2 linked regions of the Notamacropus eugenii genome follow. The protein of the gene in region 2 purifies or fractionates together with the protein of the main gene of each other region. This does not show direct contact. Links are inferred from orthologs where the notes say so. Each region holds a gene or a part of one and is shown on either strand. Other genes may lie near its edges.

Region 1 (9,955 bases), on a different chromosome or scaffold from region 2:
CCATGTCAAGATGGGATGGTAATAGTCACTCTAAAGCTGAGGCCATGCAGCCAAAGACGGTGGGAATAGGAGGGAAGGCTATAGAAGCTCCCAAGACTACTTTCTAGCTTTTACGTTTTGTACAAGAAAAATTATATATCTGATCTTATTGCCAATACTTACACAGCACTTGCAGGTTTGCTAAGTGCTTTACAAATATTATCTTATCTGATCCTCACAACATCCGTGGGAAGCTGAAAGATGCTAAATAAACAATGTGCCCAAAGTCACATGGCTAGTCTTTCTGGGGCAGAATTCGAACTCAGTTTTTCCTGAGTCCAGATCTTGTGCCCTATCTACTATGCCACCCAGCTGCTTCCTGAAATGTGGTAGAGGCATTCCTGTTTTTTGGCAATTCGGTCTGCTACCTCCACTTCCTGATCCATGCTCTGGGATTTCGGAACATCCTTAATTGTTTGAGAGGGAAAAGAAGCAAGGGTTAGGATGCTTCTTCCTCATCCTCCCTTACGTCTGTCTCTGTAAGGTATCATAGAGGGATATATAAATGTTCTTATCTGTAATTCCATGGGCTAGCCACAAACGATGGTTGATGTTAAAGATGAAAGCAAAATAGCTGAGAAACCATTAACACTACATACCATATACACCAAAATATTTACAGCAGCATGCACTTTTTGTGGTAGCAAAGAATTGGAAACAAAGTAGATGCCCATCATTTGGGGGAATGGCCAAACTGTGGTTGAATATAAGAGAATATTACTGTACTCTAAGAAATAATGTGTGATGAATTATAAAGCATGGAATAAGATATATAAGCTGATGTACAGTTAGAAAGCCAAGGAAACACTGCACACTGACTACAGCAATGTAAATTGAAAGAACCATCTAGCAAAAAATCAAGTGATTCTAGCAAAATTGCGTAGCTCCAGCAAAGACTCAAAGAGACAGGAGAAACACTTCCCCACCCACTTGTTCACTGAGTGAGGTTCACAGGTGGTGCACACAAGCATGTTGTGGGACTTTTTCACTCTACTCATAATATGTTGTACTGATTTCTCTCTGTCTCTTCACCACCTTCCAACAGTATCTGTTACATAGGATGGCTCTCTGGAAGGAGACAGGGGAGAGAGATTCTGTGAAAAACTAGACAGCAATAAAAAATTATTTTAAAAAATCTACACAGCATAGACTAACCAACTAATATGGACATGAGATCAGTCTAAATTGCCTGGCCTTTGCTAGGAGGATGGCATTAGATGCGCAGGTGGCCATGAGCTTGAACAAAGATGATAAAAGTTTGTTCATAGCTTTAATTTAATTAAACTGCTGACCCAGAAAGCAGAGGTGTCAAACTTAGGATCAGCAAAAACTTGAGTATAGCCTGAAATAAGTCAAAATGTAATTGGGAAATGTTAAAAATAAATAAAAATACAACATAGATAACAATCATTTGTGGTTTTCTAAGTTGGTCCTCATGCAGGCAGCAGAGATTCTATTTGAGTTTCATACCACTTGTCTAGACTAGAGCACTCTGGATACTGGGAATGTTAATATTCATGAAGGCTTAGCACTTCAGATCTGTAAGAGGGGTTAAAAAGGACTAGAATCGGATCTAACACACCCATCAAATACTGCGAGATAGCTATCATGCCTCCACTAAGGGATATTTTGCAGACCAAATGTGCTCATTTCTTTCAGCTGATCTCATGGAATCATCTCTGGTCTTTCCCCATACCTGGAATGTACTCTCTCCTTACCTCCTCCTCATGGAATCCTCTCTTCCTTTAAGAAACAGTTCTGGGGGCAGCTAGGTGGTGAAGTGGATTGAACACTGGCCCTGAAATCAGGAGGATCTGAGTTCAAAAATGGCCTCAGACAGACACGTGATACTAGCTAGCTGTGTGAACCTAAGAACATTATGACTATTAGAACATAAGCCCCTTGAAAGTAGCCACAGTTTTCATTCTTTCTATTTGCAGCCCTGGTGCCTAGCATGGAGTAGGCTCTTGATGCTGGTGGGACTCTGGATGCTGGATCCACTTTATTTGTGTCCTGAAACATCAGGGTCCAAAACTGAAAACAACACAACTTGTTTATTCCTGCCTGAAAGATCTCTCTCTCAACACAGCCCAGGATCTTACCTTTTGGGGGCTGCTTGCTTAGTGTTCACATTACAATCCACCACAAACTGCTATTTAGCCATGCCTCCATCTTGCACTTGTAAGTTGATTTTTTTGAACCTAGGGAGAAGACTTTACATTTATCCCTCCCTATCTTTTTTGATCTAGTTCTGATGCTAGACAGTCAAGTTCTTTTGGGCTTCTGACTCATCTACCTATTACAGCTATATATGGCACCAGCAAGTTTGATGTTTTCTACACATTTATCCAAATCACTCATCAAAGTCTTAAATAGCACAGGGCCAAACAGAGAGATCCCTGGGGCCTGACACTGGAAATCTTCACCCAGTGCTGAACCATCTGATTGCTTACTAGTCCACTCCTCTTCATCTTTTCCACAAGAATAGTATGTGATACTTCATCAAGTGCTTTGCTAAAATCTAGGCAAACTATATTAAATTCTCCTGACTGACTAATTAAAAAACCCTGTCCAAAAAAAGAGATTACTTTGCTAGGACCCACTCTTGATAAAGGCAACTCTGGCTTTTTGTTACAACCACTTTCTTTGCTAGTGGTCTTGCCACTGGACTCATAACTCTGGAGACAGGGAGGCTGAGGACCTTGCATAGCTTTACCTCACTTAAATCTGATTCATGAGCAAGTGAAGACATTAGATGTCATCAGTTCTCTTGCAGAATGAAGTACAAACAGCAACCAGACTGAAGGGAATGATGGATATAGTTGACCTAGAAGCTTCTGATAAACGTTTTCATACTGTCCTTGTGCAGAAGATGGAAAGATAGAGATGGGACAATAATCAGGTAAATTTAGAACTTGCTGGATGGCCAGATTTAAGAATAGCTAGTGGTAGAATATTCCAGAAACCTGTGCTTGTTCTGCTGTTATTTCTTATTTGTATCAGTGACTTGGATAAAGGCATGAAGTTCACCAAACAGGCAGAGGACTCCAATATGGGAAGGACAGATAAGATCCAAATGGATCTTGAGAGGATAAAGCAGCACTTCTTAAATTGTGGGTCATGACCCCATGTGGGGTCTAGAAAATTTTGCCAACAATAAAAGGTTTCTGAATGCAAAATGACCAAAATTAATTTAAAAAAATCAAACGTCATGAATCTGAGGTATTTCTGGCAGTGTCTACTGTCAAATTCACAGGTACAAGATGGAGGATGGGTGGGAAGGAGGCACAACGGCTCATCCCTTATGCTGAAAAAGACTTGGGAGATTTAGTGGAGTGCAAGCTCCTCATAAGTCAGTAGTATGGTGGGCATCACCAAAAATACTAATGGGATCTTATGCTGCATTGAGAAGGGCACCATTTCCAGGAATGGTGAAGTGAGAGCCCCACTGAACTCTCTGTCTCTGTCAGACCTCATAGGTAGTTAGTTGTATGTGTAGTTCTAAACATCAGTTTCAGAAGGACATTGATGAACCAGAGAAGAGTCCAAATAAGGGTAAGTGGAATGGTGAAGAGTTATGAGGATGGGTTGAAGGAACTGGGTTCTTTAGCCTAGAAAAGATGCAGAGGGGGAATATGATAGTTATCTTCAAGCATCTGAAAGGCTGTCATGTGCAGGAAGGATTAGATTTCTTCTACTGGCTCCAGACGAGGGAATCACTCTAAATCTGTGATCCCATTATCTTAGAGAACAACTGTTGAAATAAGTGGATTTTGGTACAAATTGAACACTTCTGCTAACGTAGATTTCAAAATAGGTTTTATAGGGTTTTTCAGTACTAGTTGAACACTTCTGCTAATGTAGATTTCAAAATAGGGTTTTCTAACTAAAATGAAAAAATCTAACATGGAAATTAAAAAGAATAAGCCAGTGTTCATGAGATCATAACATTTAGGACTAGGAGGGCTCAGAAGTCACTCATTGGACTCTTTCATTTTACAAATGAGAACAGAGAGAATTGTGGTGACATGCCCAAGGTCACACAGGGCGTTTTCCAGATTCTACCAAATCTTGTGGGTAATCTCCAACTCTCCTTTACTGTTTCCCAAAGTTTCATCTTTATAAAGAAATGCTTGTCACAAAATTTAAAATAGGACAATACAGCAGAACTGTTCCAGCTTCAGTAAAATCCAGTGTACGACTCTTTGGTGACTCCATCCCTCAGTGGGACCAGGATGAGCCTGTTCTGTAGAGGGAAACAAGGCTAATGGCCAGCCTGAGGACCTTCTTCCTCTCTGAGAGGCTCATGGCCCCAAAACACAGGGCTGGTTGTTCTGTCTTTCTGTCTGTCCTGGCGCATCCAACCTGTGCTCCCAGATCCTGACAGCAGCTGCGTTCCAGGGCCTGGATTCCCAGCTCTTTGTGGCAGCCACCCTGGTACCTACAATCCGGGACTGACACCAGCTTCTCCGTCCCCTCCTCTCCAGTCACGTCACGTCCAGACACGAATTTAATGGGACCGAGGTTAGGTGGGTAGACGGAGAAACTCAAGCGCGCGGAAAGCAACCTTTCCAAAGAGGCGCAGGTAGCAAGGGCAGGGCCTCCCACAGCGAAGCCGCAGACGGAGGCCTTAGGCCTTTTTTACACTTTGAACCTAGGGAAAAGGTGGCGGCTGGAGTCAGGCGGCCCGAGTTCAAATCCTGCCGCGGACGCTTCGCAGCCGCGGGATCCGCCCTGTCTGCCTCAGTTTCCTCGGCTGGAAAGAGGGGGCGGCAGTGGCGTGCTCCCGGCGGGGCTCTCCGCGGGCACCCATCTGGAGGCGGGATTCCTCCTTCCCCCTCACTTCCGGGGCACGCCCATCGGCAGGCCACGTGACGCCCGGCCCCGCTCCCTGCTGGGACTGACGGGAGGCTGGCGGGGGCTGCACGTGCACGGCCTCGCTAGACAGGAGAGGAAACTGAGGCCCAGAGGTTCCCAGGCGTGTTACGTCAGGCTCCCGAAGCGCTTGATGCCTCGCACTTCCGCCGCTTCCCTGGAGACCCCCCGGGCAGGACGCTGGGAGGGGGGAAAAGAAACCAGGGTTCAGGAACAGCCGTGACTCGGCCTCCGCCTCGGAGCTCCCGGGAGGGAGGGGGCCGCCCCGGAACACGCAGGGGCTGCCGGGAGCCGATGCGCGCTCCCCGTGCGCATGCTCAGAGGCGGTGGCGCCCCTGTGGCCCGGGCATTTCCGGCTCCGCCTGTCGCGCGTCACGTGCGCGGAGGCGCGATCAGCTGACTGCTGCTTCGGTGCGCGCTGAGGGCCGTCGGGCGCGGGGAGGGGAGGGGAGGACAGGGGAGGTGCCGCTGCAGGATGGCGGCTCACCTGTCCTACGGGCGTGTGAACCTGAACGTGCTGCGCGAGGCGGTGCGGAGGGAGCTGCGCGAGTTCCTGGACAAGTGCGCGGGCAGCAAGGTGAGGCCCGGGCGGGCGCGGAGGGGAAACTGAGGACCCCGAGGTCATGGGCATGCCTTCCCCCGAAGCTTCTCGACATCCTTCGGCTTCTGACCGACAGCACTAACGGGGGTGGGGGGGCCGGGCGGGTGCCCTAGGCCGGCCCGCCGCCAGGTGCACCATTGTCAGAGCCTTCGCGATAAGCGCTTTTCCCAGGGCGTCTGGTGCAAACAGGACCCCAAGGGTTTTGAGTCCGACGAAATTGGGCCCGGGCGGGAGGACGCAGAACACCCATGTGACGCCGGTAGAATTTTGGGTGGTTGTTGAGAGCTTAAACCTGTGACGTTTGCAGCAGGTGTTTGCCTCCCTTCTTGGGGCCCAGACCGGCCTTCCGGGGGCCTGCCGGCCGCCCCCAGCGCTTCCCAGGTGGTCACTGACTCTACTCTTTGCAGGCCATAGTTTGGGATGAACACCTCACGGGGCCCTTTGGGCTGATCGCGCAGTACTCGCTGTTGAAGGTAAAGAAGATAGAGTGGGGGGCAGGGGCAGGGGCTGGGACAGGGTCAGGGTCAGGGGCTGGGGCTGGGGCAGGGGCAGGGGCTGGGACAGGGGCAGGGGCAGGGAATGGGGCTGGCGCTGGGGCAGGGGCAGGGAATGGGGCTGGCGCTGGCCTCCTGGGGCAGGGGCAGGGGCTGGGGCAGGGGCTGGCCTCCTGTGTGAACTCCTGGAGCTGTCACTTTGAGACCCCTCTGTGACTGGAGGTGCTGATGCAGCTCATATCCAGCCTCATCCTTTCTAACCATCACACACATGTCCTGCATATTATGATTTGTTATTGTCTCCTTGAGCTGTGTCCCACTCACCGTGACCCCGTTCCTGGAGTGGTTTGCTCTTTCTTACTTCAGCTCATCTTACAGTTGAGGAAACTGAGGCAAGCGGTGAAGTGACTTGCTCAGAGTCACCCAGCTAGGAAGCGTCAGAGGCTGGATTTGAACTCAAGAAGAGGAGTCTTCTTGACTGTAGGCCCAGTGCTCTCTGCACTGTGATGCCACCTAGCTCCCCTTTTTTCTCGGTACTTTACAATTACACCTATATGGTGCTAAGCTCCTTAAAAGCAAGTGCTTTTTTAAGTGTTTGATGAATTGAATGTTCAATTTCAAATCCACGTCTTCAGTTACAACTTTTGTCTTTTCCACAGGAACATGAGGTGGAAAAAATGTTCACACTTAAAGGAAGTCGACTGCCTGCAGCTGATGTCAAGAACATTATTTTTTTTGTCAGACCCAGGCTAGAATTGATGGATATAATTGCTGAAAATGTACTCAGGTATCTAAGGAGGAAAAATCTTAAATTTATTTAAAACTAAAATGGTGTTTAATTCTTACATTCCAGCTTTTGAAGAAGAGTGTGGATGGAGTATGGATTACATTCAGAATGTGAGGTGGCTGTCATAGAAAAATGGATAGGGTGGAAGGGTGGCCAGGCTAGAAGAGAACTGAGCCTAGAACGTTAGAGCTGGGAACTTTTGCTACTGGGAATGCCTAGAATGTTAGAGATGGACATTAGGGGTCATCTAGTACAACTCCCTCACTGCATCGATCAGGAGATTCTTGGAGGAAAACCTTCAGTGGGGGAAGTAGTACCATAGGCTATAGTTGGCAAGGACCTTGGAGGGTGTCCAGTCCAACCTCCAGAAGCAGGATTTGAATCTAGAGCCTCCTGCTTGATCTGAAGCCAGGGCTTTAGGGTCTCTGTCCCATGCTGCCTCCTCAACAAGGCATTAAGTAGGAAATAGTAAATTGGGCCCTCTGTGTGGCCCCTTTTAAAGGTATGAGGCAGGCTCTCCTGGGCCGACTAGGGGTTGGGCAGGGGCAAAAGGAGGAGGAAAGATGAATCTGTCGACTGAAAGGAACCTTCCACGAGGACCTAAAAGATCAGATTACAAGATTTAGAGTTGGAAGGGACATTGGTGAGCCAGCGCCCTCATCGAAAGTCCAGAGGAGGAGCCTGAGACCCAGGGCACTTAAAACACTTTCAAGGCCACTGGGAGGCAGAGCACTCTTGCCCAGATCCCGTGTTGTATTTGTTTCCTAAACCCAGTCTGCCCTTTTAGAGGAAATGAGGCTCTACTTATGTTTCACAAGAGAAAGTAAGCAAAGCATTTCTAGAGCAAAAATGAGATCCTCCTGTTTACAGAGGCTTCCCTGTAGCCCTTGGGATACTGGGCTGATCTCTTTCATGGGGAGGAATAATAATTTTGACGGAGACAGTGATATCCCTGCTCCGTAGATCAGGGGCTGTTTTTCATTCTGTTCTCACAGGACCACGCACATCACAGACCCTTGGTCAACACTGATTTAACTGAATGTTAACATGTATTGGGAGTCATCAGTTGGAAAAAAGGAAAGGAGAACACAGAAGGAAGGAATCTTTCAGAGGCTTGCTGAATAGTTTAATCAGAGGCTCCCTCTAGTTACAACATCGTTGATTAGTTGGATTTACTGCTACATTAAATCAAGCACGTTAGTGTCACAAAGTGTAACATAAAGCGTTTAAAAGAGGATTTCAGTGTGGTTGTTATCAAGAGGAAAGGGAAGGGAATAAGCATTTATTTAATTTAAGCATTTATTTAATTTAAGCATTTATTAAGCACCTCCTGTGTGTCTTTAAAAACATGTCACTTTATTTTCACAACCCTGAGTGGTAGGTGCTGTTATTATCCCCATTTTATAATTGAGAAACTGAGGCAGGTGGGTTAATTGACTTGCCCAGGATCACATAGCTAGTAAGTGTTTGAACTCAGGTCTTCCAGGCTCCAGGCTAGGTACTCTGTGGGCTGTAGCATCCCCAGCTGCCTCCAAGACCACATCTCTATTTATGTGCCTGTGTTCTTTTTCCATGAGAAAACTCAATGCCAGTGCCTTGAGCCATTTGTCTTTGAGACAATAAATACCACAAACATCATGTTCCTTTCTAGTGAAGATAGGCGCTCCCCTGCCAGAGATTTCCACATTTTGTTTGTCCCACGCCGGAGCTTGTTGTGTGAGCAGCGTCTGAAGGATCAGGGAGTTCTGGGATCCTTTATTCACAGAGAAGAGTACAGCCTTGACCTCATTCCGTTTGATGGTGACTTGCTGTCCATGGAGTCTGAGAGTGCTTTTAAAGTAAGTGTGGAGCATCTTTGTTAAAGGAAAAGCAGTAACATTCTCACTTTATGTATCAACTTTGATCTCATACCTTGAAAGGTTGTTACCAATCAGGTATTATTATTTATTAGTTTTAGTTATCATTTTTTCCTACATGAAAGAGATTTTCTGATGTTTAAAAAGGAAATGATGTGGTTTAAGGGGTTCAGGGACCCCTCAAGGACTGAAGTATAAGAGATGGTCATCTGAAAGGAATTCACTGACTCAAGCATTCTTTAAGTCAAGGTGGCAAAGGTTTATTGTAATGCCAATATGATAAATATCAGAGCACCTTAAGGAACTTGCCACTTAACAGGAATGATGCTAAGGCTTACATAGGAAAAGCAGTGGATTATCTGTCAGGTGTACTAATTAGGCGACAATTTACAACTTTAGTCACAGGTTTCATTCACTACTGCAAACCAGGGGAAGGGGTTTCTAAGGGGTGTGTTTTGGTTTGTTACATCTGTAGCAGGATAGCTTTGAGAGTATAGCTTGACCTCTGGTTTGTATATAATAAATAACTTTGGGAATCAATACATGATAACTCTGTGGTTACAAGACAGTTCTGTTTTGCAAGAGAATTTCTTCAGAAGCCAGCTTGTTCTTGTGATGGGGAAAGGTAGTTTGTTATACTGGGGCCTACTTATGAGTAATTGTGGGGAAAGGTAGTTTGTCTTACTGGGGCCCACTCATGAGTTATTGGTAGGCAGACTGTCCTTGGGCTGGGAAGAAAGCTGTCAGGGATTGTGTTTTGAAGCTAGGGAGAGATGTGATCTTGAAACTGGCCTCTGAGCACAAGCACCCCATTAGTAACTTCCCTCAGGGTGCAAGAAAAATATAGAAGTTCTTACAGAACCAAGAGGGTCCAGATAGCTGTAAGATCATTGGAAGAGCTGCTGGAGAAAGGGAGAGGACAGGAATGCTCAGGGGAGGGCAGGCCGAAGGGCTCCAGTGCATGCAGTACCCAAGGCCCAGCAGGTGCTCTCTGAGGAGAACCGATGTTAACTGGGATTGAGGAAACCCAGCAGATAAAGTACATGAAATCTTTGTCACTAGGAATAACATGACATCTTGGAGAAGTTGGTGATGCGACTTTTTGTCCTGACAGAATCATTTGTAGATGTGCAGACTGGGCATTGATGGTTAAATATTTGCAAGTGGGATTAGAACTTGGGCCCCTTCAGGTCTATAAGCTGAAAGTTTTGCTTATGGCAAGGCAGCTTTAGTGGGGTTATCCCCACCATGAATAAACTGATGTTAAAGTCAAATCAGTTTGTTCCATTGGGATTTTGGCATG
Region 2 (9,873 bases):
TTGTTCTATAAAATTTGGACTCAGTCAAAGGGCCACACCCAAGAACTTAGAAGATCATATGTGGCCTAGAAGCCACAGGTTCCCCACCCCGGAATAGGGTCTTATGGAACCGAATTAGAAATTTCTCTATAAATTGATAGCAATTTTCTGATCGACACTTTTTGGATATGAATACTTAACCAACTATTAATCTACCTTACTGAAAGTTGAATCACATTTCTCAATTTTGTCTACAAGGATATACTGACTTTGTCAAATGTTTTAGAAAATACCAGATCTTGACCCAGCAATACCATCATTAGGTCTGTTTCCCAAAGTGACGAGGGAAAAAGAAAAATAATCCATATGTTCTTAAATATTCATAGCTCTCCTTGTAGTGGTAAAGAACTGGAAACTAAAGGGATGCACATCAATTGCAAAATCACTAAACAAGTTGTGGTATATGCTTGTGATAGAATACTAACTACTGTGCTGTAAGAAATGATGAGCAGGCTGATTTTAGAAAAAAGACTTGCATGAAGGATGAGTGAAATGAGCAGGACCAAAAGAATGTTGTATACTGTAACAGAATAACTGTGAATGACTAAGTTGTTCTAAGTACTATAAATACTCATATCAAAAACAAAGGGCCTATGAAGGAAGACACTATCTACCTCCAGAAAAGAAGTGATAAACAGAAGTATGAGTAAGATTTTATACACACACACACACACACACACATACATACACACACACGTGTGTGTGTGTGGATGCAAATTTGTGTGTCTGTGTGTGTGTATGTATGTGAGTGAAATGGTGGCCTTCTGGGGGAGGAGGGAGAGAAAGTTTGGAACTTAAAATGTAGCCAAAAAAAGTTAAATTTAAAAAAAAAAGATACCAGATCTTGGGCATTCCCATGGTCTTTTAATTTAGCGACTTTATCAAAAAGGAAACTGACGTTGGTTTGGCATAACATTCTTACTGAGCCCATATTGGTTCCTAGCGCCCAACTCTGTTTCTAAGTTCTCATAAAACATCTGTTTAATAATTTACTCTAGAACTCTCTGGACATCTAGGTGGCACAATGATAGAATGCTGGAGTTGGGAAGACCTGAGTTTAAATCCTGTCTCAAGACACTTACTCTCTGTATGACCCTGGATAAGTCACTCCACCTCTCTCAGGCTCAGTCTCCTCATCTGTAAAATGGAGAAAATTACACCATCTATCTTAGAGGTTGTTGTAAGGATTAAGTGGGATAACATATAAAGCACATGAAAACCTTACAGTACTATGTAAATGCTAGCTGTTACTATTATTTTCTCATCAAAGTTTTATCTGTGTTTCCCAGAATCTATTCTTTTCCCCTATTTATTTCCCCATAAAAATGGCACTATCTGAACATTATTCACAGTCTCCCTATATTCTAACAAACAAAAGAGTTCACTAAAGTGGAAGAAGAGCTGTTCCAACTATCTGTAAGGATATAAAGAAATAACCATGTTATATATATTTAGTATCCTCATTTAAAGATGCTGTTGCAAATAGTATATAACCTATGTGTACAATTGTAATTTCAAAGTTTGTATGATGTTCCCAAATGTAATTTTTTTTAATCTGGGTAAATCCAGTTTAGATTCTGATCTGTTAATACCAGTCCAAGAAAGATCAGCTTATAAGGGTGGATGGAATCTTTAGAACAGAATATTTAATAAACAGTACTTCCCTCAGTGTCAGATTTCCAAAATAATTGTGTACCCTTTTTCAAGCTACAATTTTAACAGTTAATGAATTAGCTACTTTAGATTATGCTATTAAGGAAGTATCTCAGTTTCATGGTACTTTTATATTTTGAAACCAGGGTTTAGCTTTTTCTTATGTAAGACAGAGTAAATTTTGTATTAATATTTAACATTAGAAAACCTTAGCCAATATAAATTATTCTACATTCATGCAGTTCTGCAGGGTTTGTTTGATTTGGGTTGGGTTTTTTTTGAGTGTTTCTTTTGTCTGTTTGTTTTAATAAAGAAAAACTGGTCAGGCTTGCCACAGAGGAAATGGGTTGAAAGTATGGGCCAAATTACTGAATATCTTTCAAACACCTGGCTCCAGAAAATAATTACTTTAATGTATTTCTAACGAGAACTGGATTCTAACCAAGATGAAAAGGCTTAAACTCATTAAGTAAAATACCTAGAGTTTCCTTTAAGAGAATCTTAAATTCTTAATACAAGCAGAAGGGGGTCTATTAAAAAACCTTTTAAATATATTTGGACTTCAGTTCCCTTCAATAAAGGGGCCAGTAGAACATTGGAATTTGATGTTGTAGCATTTTAAAAGAGTAATAGTTTCTGTTCATTTTCAAAGAATTCAGTGACTAAAGCTACCCAACAATGAAACAAATCACTTTAAAGGTATTGAGTATCCTCTGACTGGACATATTTAAGCAGAGACTGAACCACTATTAAGAAGGATTTGAGCCTTGAATAAGAGGTCAAGTTAGATGATCTCTAATAATAACAATACCTTAAAGTTGAACAAAAACTATTGCAGAAATAAATACATGACTGAAAATGACACAGAAGAATGAATGAAAGCTAAGTATGTTGTTATATTTTCTATTCCAACTTACCACTGCCTAAACAGAAATCAGGCTAGAGAATCCACAAGTGAACTTACTCTGAAACACCCACCCATCTTTTATTATCAAAGACAGCACTCAAAGCACACAGAATCGAAGAAGTTTTGTGCTGGAAGGAAATTGAGAGGTCTTTCAATTTCCTAACTTCAAACATAATGAAAAGTGGCCCAAAAGATCAACTGAATTTTTCCAAGGTCAATGTAGTTAGCCTAAGAATTAGTGTTAAAACTCAAGTCTCTGATTTCCTAAACCAATGCTCTTTCCACACCACTGCAGCTGCTAAAAAAAAAAAAATGCTGAGCCAAAAAAGACTGGCTTCACTGAGTGTTTTGGAGAGAAGAGGCAAAGGAAGTAGACTCAGCAAGCAGAAAAGGAAGGGGAAAGGACAAAAACCGTCCAAATGTTTTCTCCCCAGGTTTTGTAGTAAAGCTCAGATGGTTTTGGTCTAACTATGAGAGAGGAAGCACATAAATTACAAATGAGTCGTGGGCCTCAACATCAGGCTTCATTTGGGCTGAGAGCCAGTTCTCAGACATCAATTCTGACCTACAAATGAAACATCTCATATTATAGTGCTATTATACTCACACACATGATTTATCAATGCATTAATCTGACAAATACAATAATGCCAACATGCTGACCTCCCTGAAAACAAAGAGATGAAGCTTCTCACAGTGCAGCAATTTCAACAGTGATTAACCCCTTACTCAGTTAAATTTTCAACCTACAAAACTAAATGCCTTCTTCTAACATTAATGATGACTCCATGGAATCCTAGTGGGCAGCAGGTAATCCACAGGCCCTGGTAGCTTTGTGAACGAATGCTGCTAAAGGAGATTCCATACAGTGCTGGCTACCGTGTTGACAAGTACAGATGCCTGAAAACTAAGCCTTCTGTCCATATTCATGGAAAGCTTCCTGTACTCAAGAGGAGGTAGTATCAACTACAAGTGAAAACTAACTCACCACTTGCACCTCAACTGGCAACATGGGAAAAATCTCTCAGGATTCTGGCTTTGAGCTCTTCAATCCTCAAAAACCATCCATTTTAATTCAACACTGGACTTGCTATCTTTTCATCCATGAGGTTCTCTTGCCCATTGGGACAAAGATAAACCTTAAATATTCTAAAACTTCAAGATGCCTAGGAACAACTTATGGTTCATATACACTTGCTTCCTTGCTCCCAAACAGCCTTAGGGATAGAGGAAAGAGACCCTGATAGGGTCTCTTCATTCTCTTTCCTCGTCTTGAAAGTATTCAACCTCCACTTCAAATCAAGCAATGAGTCTCCAGGATCTTTCCCCTATCCCCCAAACACACAGATATCCAGGGTCCCATCCTTCTAACTGCCCCCCCACACACAGAGTCCCATCCTCCTAACCACACCCCCAACCTAACACACACATACACAAAAAAACATGCAGAGGACCATCCCCCTCCACCACACACACACACAGAGTCCCAACCTCCTGAACCACATACAGCCCCTAACCTAACACACGCGCACATACATACGCCGTACCACCCTAAATCACACACACAGCCCCACACATACACACCACAAGATCACACCCTGAATCCCACCCTCCTAAATTTCACTTACACACACATCCGCATACACACGCACACACACCAGGATACCCCGCACACATACACGCATACACACACGCACGCGCACACACACACACCAGGACACCACATACGCACGCACGCACGATACCCCCCCCACCCCAGGATACCCCCGCACACATACACGCATACACACACACACACACACACACACACACACACACACACACACACACACACACACACACACACACACACACACACACACACACACACACACACACACACACACACCCGCACGCACGCACGCCAGAGCCCCGGCCGCCCTCCACCCGCCCGGCCGCCCCGCCTCAGCGCTGTGACAGCCCGGCCCGCCCGCAGCCCCGCGGCCTCCCCGCCGCAGCCCCCTCCTCACCCGCGCTCGCCCAGCCCGGGCCTCCTCGGTCCGCTCCGCCCCGAGCCGCCTTCCGCCGCCGCTCCTGCGCCCAGCCTCCCGCTCACGGCTGCGGCTGCGGCGGCCGCCGAGGCCCGGGACTGCTGGGCCCCGCACACGCGCCCTCCGCCCGGCTCGGCCCCGCCCGGCCCGGCTCCGGGTTGGCTCCGCAGCTCCCCCAGGGGCTCCGTCCGGGCCCCGCCGCCGCTTCCCGTCACGTGGGGGCCCGCCCCGGAGCGCGGCAGGACGGCGGCCTCCGCCTCTGATTGACAGGGGCCGAGAGGGGCGCCCGATCATCCGGCCGGCGCGCTCGACCCCCTCCCCGCGGCTGAGGATGAGGGTCATGGAGGGGGCTGGGGGAGGGCCTGAGCTGTCCTTCGGGTGGGAGTGGGCGTGAGGGCGCCGGTACCTGGGCGTGCTCTCTGTGCCTGGAGCTGCGAGCGCCGGAGCGCAGCCGGGCAGGTGTCCTCGGAGGCCCCGCCTCCCCCAGCTCCCTCTCTCCCCCCTCTCCCTCTCCCTCCCTCCCTCCCTCTCTCCCCCCTCTCCCTCTCCCTCCCTCCCTCCCTTCCTCCCTCCTTCCCTCCCTCTCTCTCTCCCTCTCTCTCCCTCCCTCTCCGTCTCTCTCTCTCTCTCTCTCTCTCTCTCTCTCTCTCTCTCTCTTTCCTTCTCCCTCCCTCTCCTCTTTCTCCCTCCCTCTCCTCTCTCTCTCTCCCTCTCCCTCTCTGTTTCTCCCTTCCCCCCCTCCCTCTCTCCCTCTCTCTCCCTGTCTCTCTCTGTCTCTCTCTCCCCCCTGTCTCCCCACTTCCCTTTTATTCTTCCTTTATCTGTCCTTCCTATCCTCTTTGCTCTCTCTTCTCCTTCCTCCCCCTTGCTTCCCACTCCCATCCACTTTAACCCAGGGCAAAAAGGAGTGTGGGGGAAATGAAGTGAGGGAAGGTTCCTAATACTTGGAAGGACCTTCAAGGTTCTGTGGAAAGTTGAGTTCTAGGAAGGTACACCTTAACCCCAAATCTTTTTCTTCCCAGTGGCTCAAGATGCCGTGAGAGATTTATTCCCCTGGGTCAAGCATTGCCCTTTCTGGTTAGTCTTCTAGACATAAGACGTAAAGCTGCTCTTGACTGCAAGTCATTTCTTTGGCCCTCTCCCTAGTCATCCCCATCTCTACCTCCCCACAAATGCTGAGTTTCTCTGTAGGGGAGGGAAGGCAAATTCATTGCTTTCTGGAGAGTTTAACTCAGAGTAACAAAGATAGATGCCTGAAAGAAATTCAGTATGGTCAGAAGAGTGTACTCTTAATTTTTAGAAATTTTGCCATATTTCTTTCATTACCTTCATTTCCAAATATATGAGCCCCCCACCTCTATCCAGGAAGCCATCCCTTATAACAATAAAAAAGAGGGAAAACTTAGTTTAATAAGACCTTCATTTCCAAATATTCTTTCCCCACCATCACCCAAGGAGCCATCCCTTATAACAATAAAAAAGCCAGAGGGAAAAACAGTTTGGTAAAACTAACCAACACTTTAGTGGAATCTGACAGTATATGTAGCGTTCCATACCCTTAGTGTCCCATTTCTCTTTCCAAGCCAACCTTGGTCATCATAATCAGGAGAGATACTCCTGGCAAAAGCAACGTCCACTCTAGGAGGCAAAACACTTCTCTGTTGGTAAATGACTTTATCTGTCCTCTAACTCTTATCAGTAAAGCCTAAGGGCCAAGTGAGCCTACTTTGTTCCATCTTCCCCTGCCTACCAACTAATCAATAAATGCCATGCCCTTCTCATACTCCTAAAACCCCACATTCCTTGAGGAATTCTTCCCTAAATGGAAGCAAAATGACATTTCACACATATACCCACCCCCAAAGTGAGGCAGAGCTGTGCAAAATCATCAACCTCCCTCTCCCCCCAGAAGTCATTGGAGTCCAGTGGTAAGATATAGGTCCATGACTACGGATGTAGTAGGGGACTAATTTAGAACAGCTGTATAGCTATCCTGCCTGTATAGGTACATACAAATGCTTTCATGATGTATTTTCATTTATCTGCTATTAGAAGGCAGAAGCAGTGCCAGTGTTACTGCTTTATATAGTCTACAATGCTGTTCCTGCAATGCTCAGGTCTTCTTTATCTGAAAAAACAAAACAAACAACTCTAACACTGACTCTGCCACTTCCTTAAGTTATTATCATATATGTCCCTATCCATTCACTGCTAAATTTCCAAAGAGAGTAGTCTATACTTGGCTGTCTCCACTTTTTTTTTTTTTTGCCACCCACTCATTTCTCAGTCCCTAGAAACCTGGCTTCCTTTTCTATCTCCTTCACTGAAACTGACAACATATGTCAACCAAATTTATAAATCAGTCCATTTATTAATATATATAGGGTTAGAAATGAGTCCTGAATAAAACATCCAGACATCCATTAGGAGATGGGCTCCACTAGACTTGTTTGGGATTTTTCAGAGCAAGAAAGAGATGTAAACTAAGAGACTGATGATTAAACAAATTTCAGGCTATTAAATAAATGCTACCATATAAACTAATTTAATAATTAGTTGTCAGGTCTACATGCTGTTTCAAAACCCACCTTTGATATTGAATAGCTAACTGCTGAACAATAATCAATTCAATAAGCATTTTATTAATCAACAAGCAATTACTAAGTTCCTACTATGTGCCAGGTTTGGTTAGGGAACCAAAGATAACATTAAAAAGTCCTTGTGGCCAAGTTGTTTCTATGGACAGATAAGTAAATATACACACACTTAGGTAAATAAAAAAACCTATGCAAAATACATGCAAAGTAGTTTCTAAGGGGGGCACTAACTACCACAATTCAATTAAAAAATTCAATTTTATTTTATTTTCAGTTCCAAATTCTTTTCCTTTCTCCTTCTCTTTTACATATTGATTAGGTAAGAAAAGCAAAATCCATTATAAATGTACATAGTCATACAAAACATATTCTCACGTTAGTCATGTCCAAAAAAATTTCTTTTTTGAAAGAAAAGAAAATATGCTTCCATTTGTACTTTGAACCTATCAGTTCTCTATCTGGTGGTGGACAGCATGTTTCATCATGTGTGTTTTGGAACTGTGGTTAGTCATTGTGTTAATCAGAATTCCTAAATATTTCAAAGTTCTTTTTACAATACTGTTATTATATAAATTATTCTCCTAGTTCTGCCCACTTCACTTTGCATCAGTTCATATGTGTCTTCCCAGGTTTTTCTAAAACCTTCCTCTTCATTATCTCTTACAGCACACTAGTATTCCATCATATTCATATATCATAATTTGTTCAGCCAGTTCCTGGCTGAACACCTGATGAACACCTACTCAGTTTCCAATTCTGCGCCTCCACAAAAAGAGTTGCTATAAGTATTTTTGTCCTTTAGGGATCCTTCTCCTCTGTGGGATCTCTTTGGGATATAAATACTGCTAGATCAAAGGGTATAAGCAATTTAATAGCATTTTAGGCATAGGTTCAAATTGCTTTCCAGAATTTTTGAATTAGTTTACAACTCTACCAACAGTGTATTAGTGTACCTAGTATACATCCTCTTTAGCATCTTTTGTTATACTTTTTTGTCAACCTAGCCAATCTGATAGGCATGAGGTGGTACCTCAGAGTTGTTTTCATTTGCATTTCTCTAATTATTAGTGAGAAAATTTTTTCATGTGACATTCCTTTGAATATATTCCTTTCACATATTCCTTTGAAAATTGCCTATTTATATACCTAAAGGGGCCAAGGTCTCCCACTGCATCCTAGGCCATGTCCAGTCATCCTGATGAATATCATCTGGTCACTAGATCCAGATGGCTCAGGAGGAAAAAGCGAGACTGGTGACCTTGCACACCCTCCCTCACTCAAAACAAAGTCAAGTGCAAGTCATGTCATCATTTCTCTGGTGGCATGGTCTTCTTCGGCAACAAAGGATGAACACAACAACAATTTGTATCCCTTGACCATTTGTCAACTGGGGAGTGCCTCTTAGTCTTATAAACATAATTAATTTCCCTATGTATCTCAGAAATGAGACTTTTATCAGACACTTCCTACAAAGAATCCCCTGGTCCAGTTTTCTGCTTTTCTTCTAATTTTAGTTGCATTGGTTTTGCTTTTACAAAAACTTTTTAATTTTATGTAATCAAAATCATCCCTTTTACTTCCTGTGAATCTCTTTATCTCTTGTTTGAGCATGACCTCTTCTCTTATCCATAGATTTGACAAATAATTCCCATTTTCTATTAATTTGCTTTTGATGTTACTCTTTATGTTTAAATCATGTACCCATCTTGAGCTCATCTTGATATATTTCATGGGATGTTGGTCTCTACTTCCTACCAGACATTCTTCCTGTTTTCCCAACACTTTTGCTGAATTGTGAGTTCTTGTTCCCAAATAGCTGGGATCTTTGAGGGGATCAAATAATGCTTTGTTAATTTTGGGAGGGGAGTAGGGCATCACAAGGGGTTGGACAAAACCAAAGCAATTGAATAACTACAAAAATGTTCATTTGCTTCTGTATATTGTATGCCTAATCTGTTTCACAGATCAACCTCCCTGTTTCTTATCCAGGACCAAATTGTTTTGTGATTACAGATTTGTAATAGAGTTTCAGATGTGATACTATTTCCTTCCCATTTTTTTCATTGAATTCCTAGATATTTATGACCATTTGTTTCTCTCGGTGAATTTTGTTATTTTTTCTAGCTCTATAAAATAATTCTTTGGTAGTTTGGTGTGGCGCTGAATATATTAATTTAGGTAGTATTGTCATTTTTATTAATTGTTTTGGCTTACATATGGGCAATTAATATTTCTCCAATTATTTAGATCTTTATTTGTATAAAGATTGTTTTGTAATTATGTTCATATAATTCTTGTATGTATATTGTCAGGTAGATTCATAAATGTTTTATACTATCCTTGCTTATCATAAGTGGAATTTCTCTTTCTATTTCTTCCTGCTGGATTTTATTCTTATTTACAGAATTGTCAATGATTTGTGTGGTTTATTTTATATCTTGCAACTTTGCTGATAATTTTGTTAATTGTTTCAATTAATTTTTTAGTTGATGCTTCAGAGTTCTCTAAGTAAACTTTCATATCATCTGCAAAAAGTGATAAACTTAGTTCTTTCTTTGCCTATGCTTATTCCTTAGATTTCTTTTTCTCTTCTTAGTGCTATAAGTAGCATTTCAAGTACAATGAATAATAATGGTGATAAATGACA

The links. Proteins that work in one complex are often made in the same cells at the same time.
Region 1: the proteins of TGFBRAP1 (region 2) and VPS33A purify together in Homo sapiens (co-immunoprecipitation; 5 studies listed by BioGRID and IntAct, with this or other methods). This does not show direct contact. The link is inferred for Notamacropus eugenii from reciprocal best matches to the Homo sapiens genes TGFBRAP1 and VPS33A.

The regions. Positions count from the first base shown.
Region 1 is NC_092875.1:37,520,908-37,530,862, reverse strand, and holds the start of VPS33A (vacuolar protein sorting-associated protein 33A), read left to right. Parts: upstream 1-5,194; 5' UTR 5,195-5,389; coding exon 5,390-5,491; intron 5,492-5,922; coding exon 5,923-5,988; intron 5,989-6,668; coding exon 6,669-6,796; intron 6,797-8,447; coding exon 8,448-8,634; intron 8,635-9,955.
Region 2 is NC_092877.1:200,323,183-200,333,055, forward strand, and holds the start of TGFBRAP1 (transforming growth factor-beta receptor-associated protein 1), read right to left. Parts: upstream 4,749-9,873; 5' UTR 4,609-4,748; intron 1,155-4,608; exon of another isoform or gene 1,122-1,154; intron 1-1,121. UniProt on the Homo sapiens protein: Plays a role in the TGF-beta/activin signaling pathway. It associates with inactive heteromeric TGF-beta and activin receptor complexes, mainly through the type II receptor, and is released upon activation of signaling.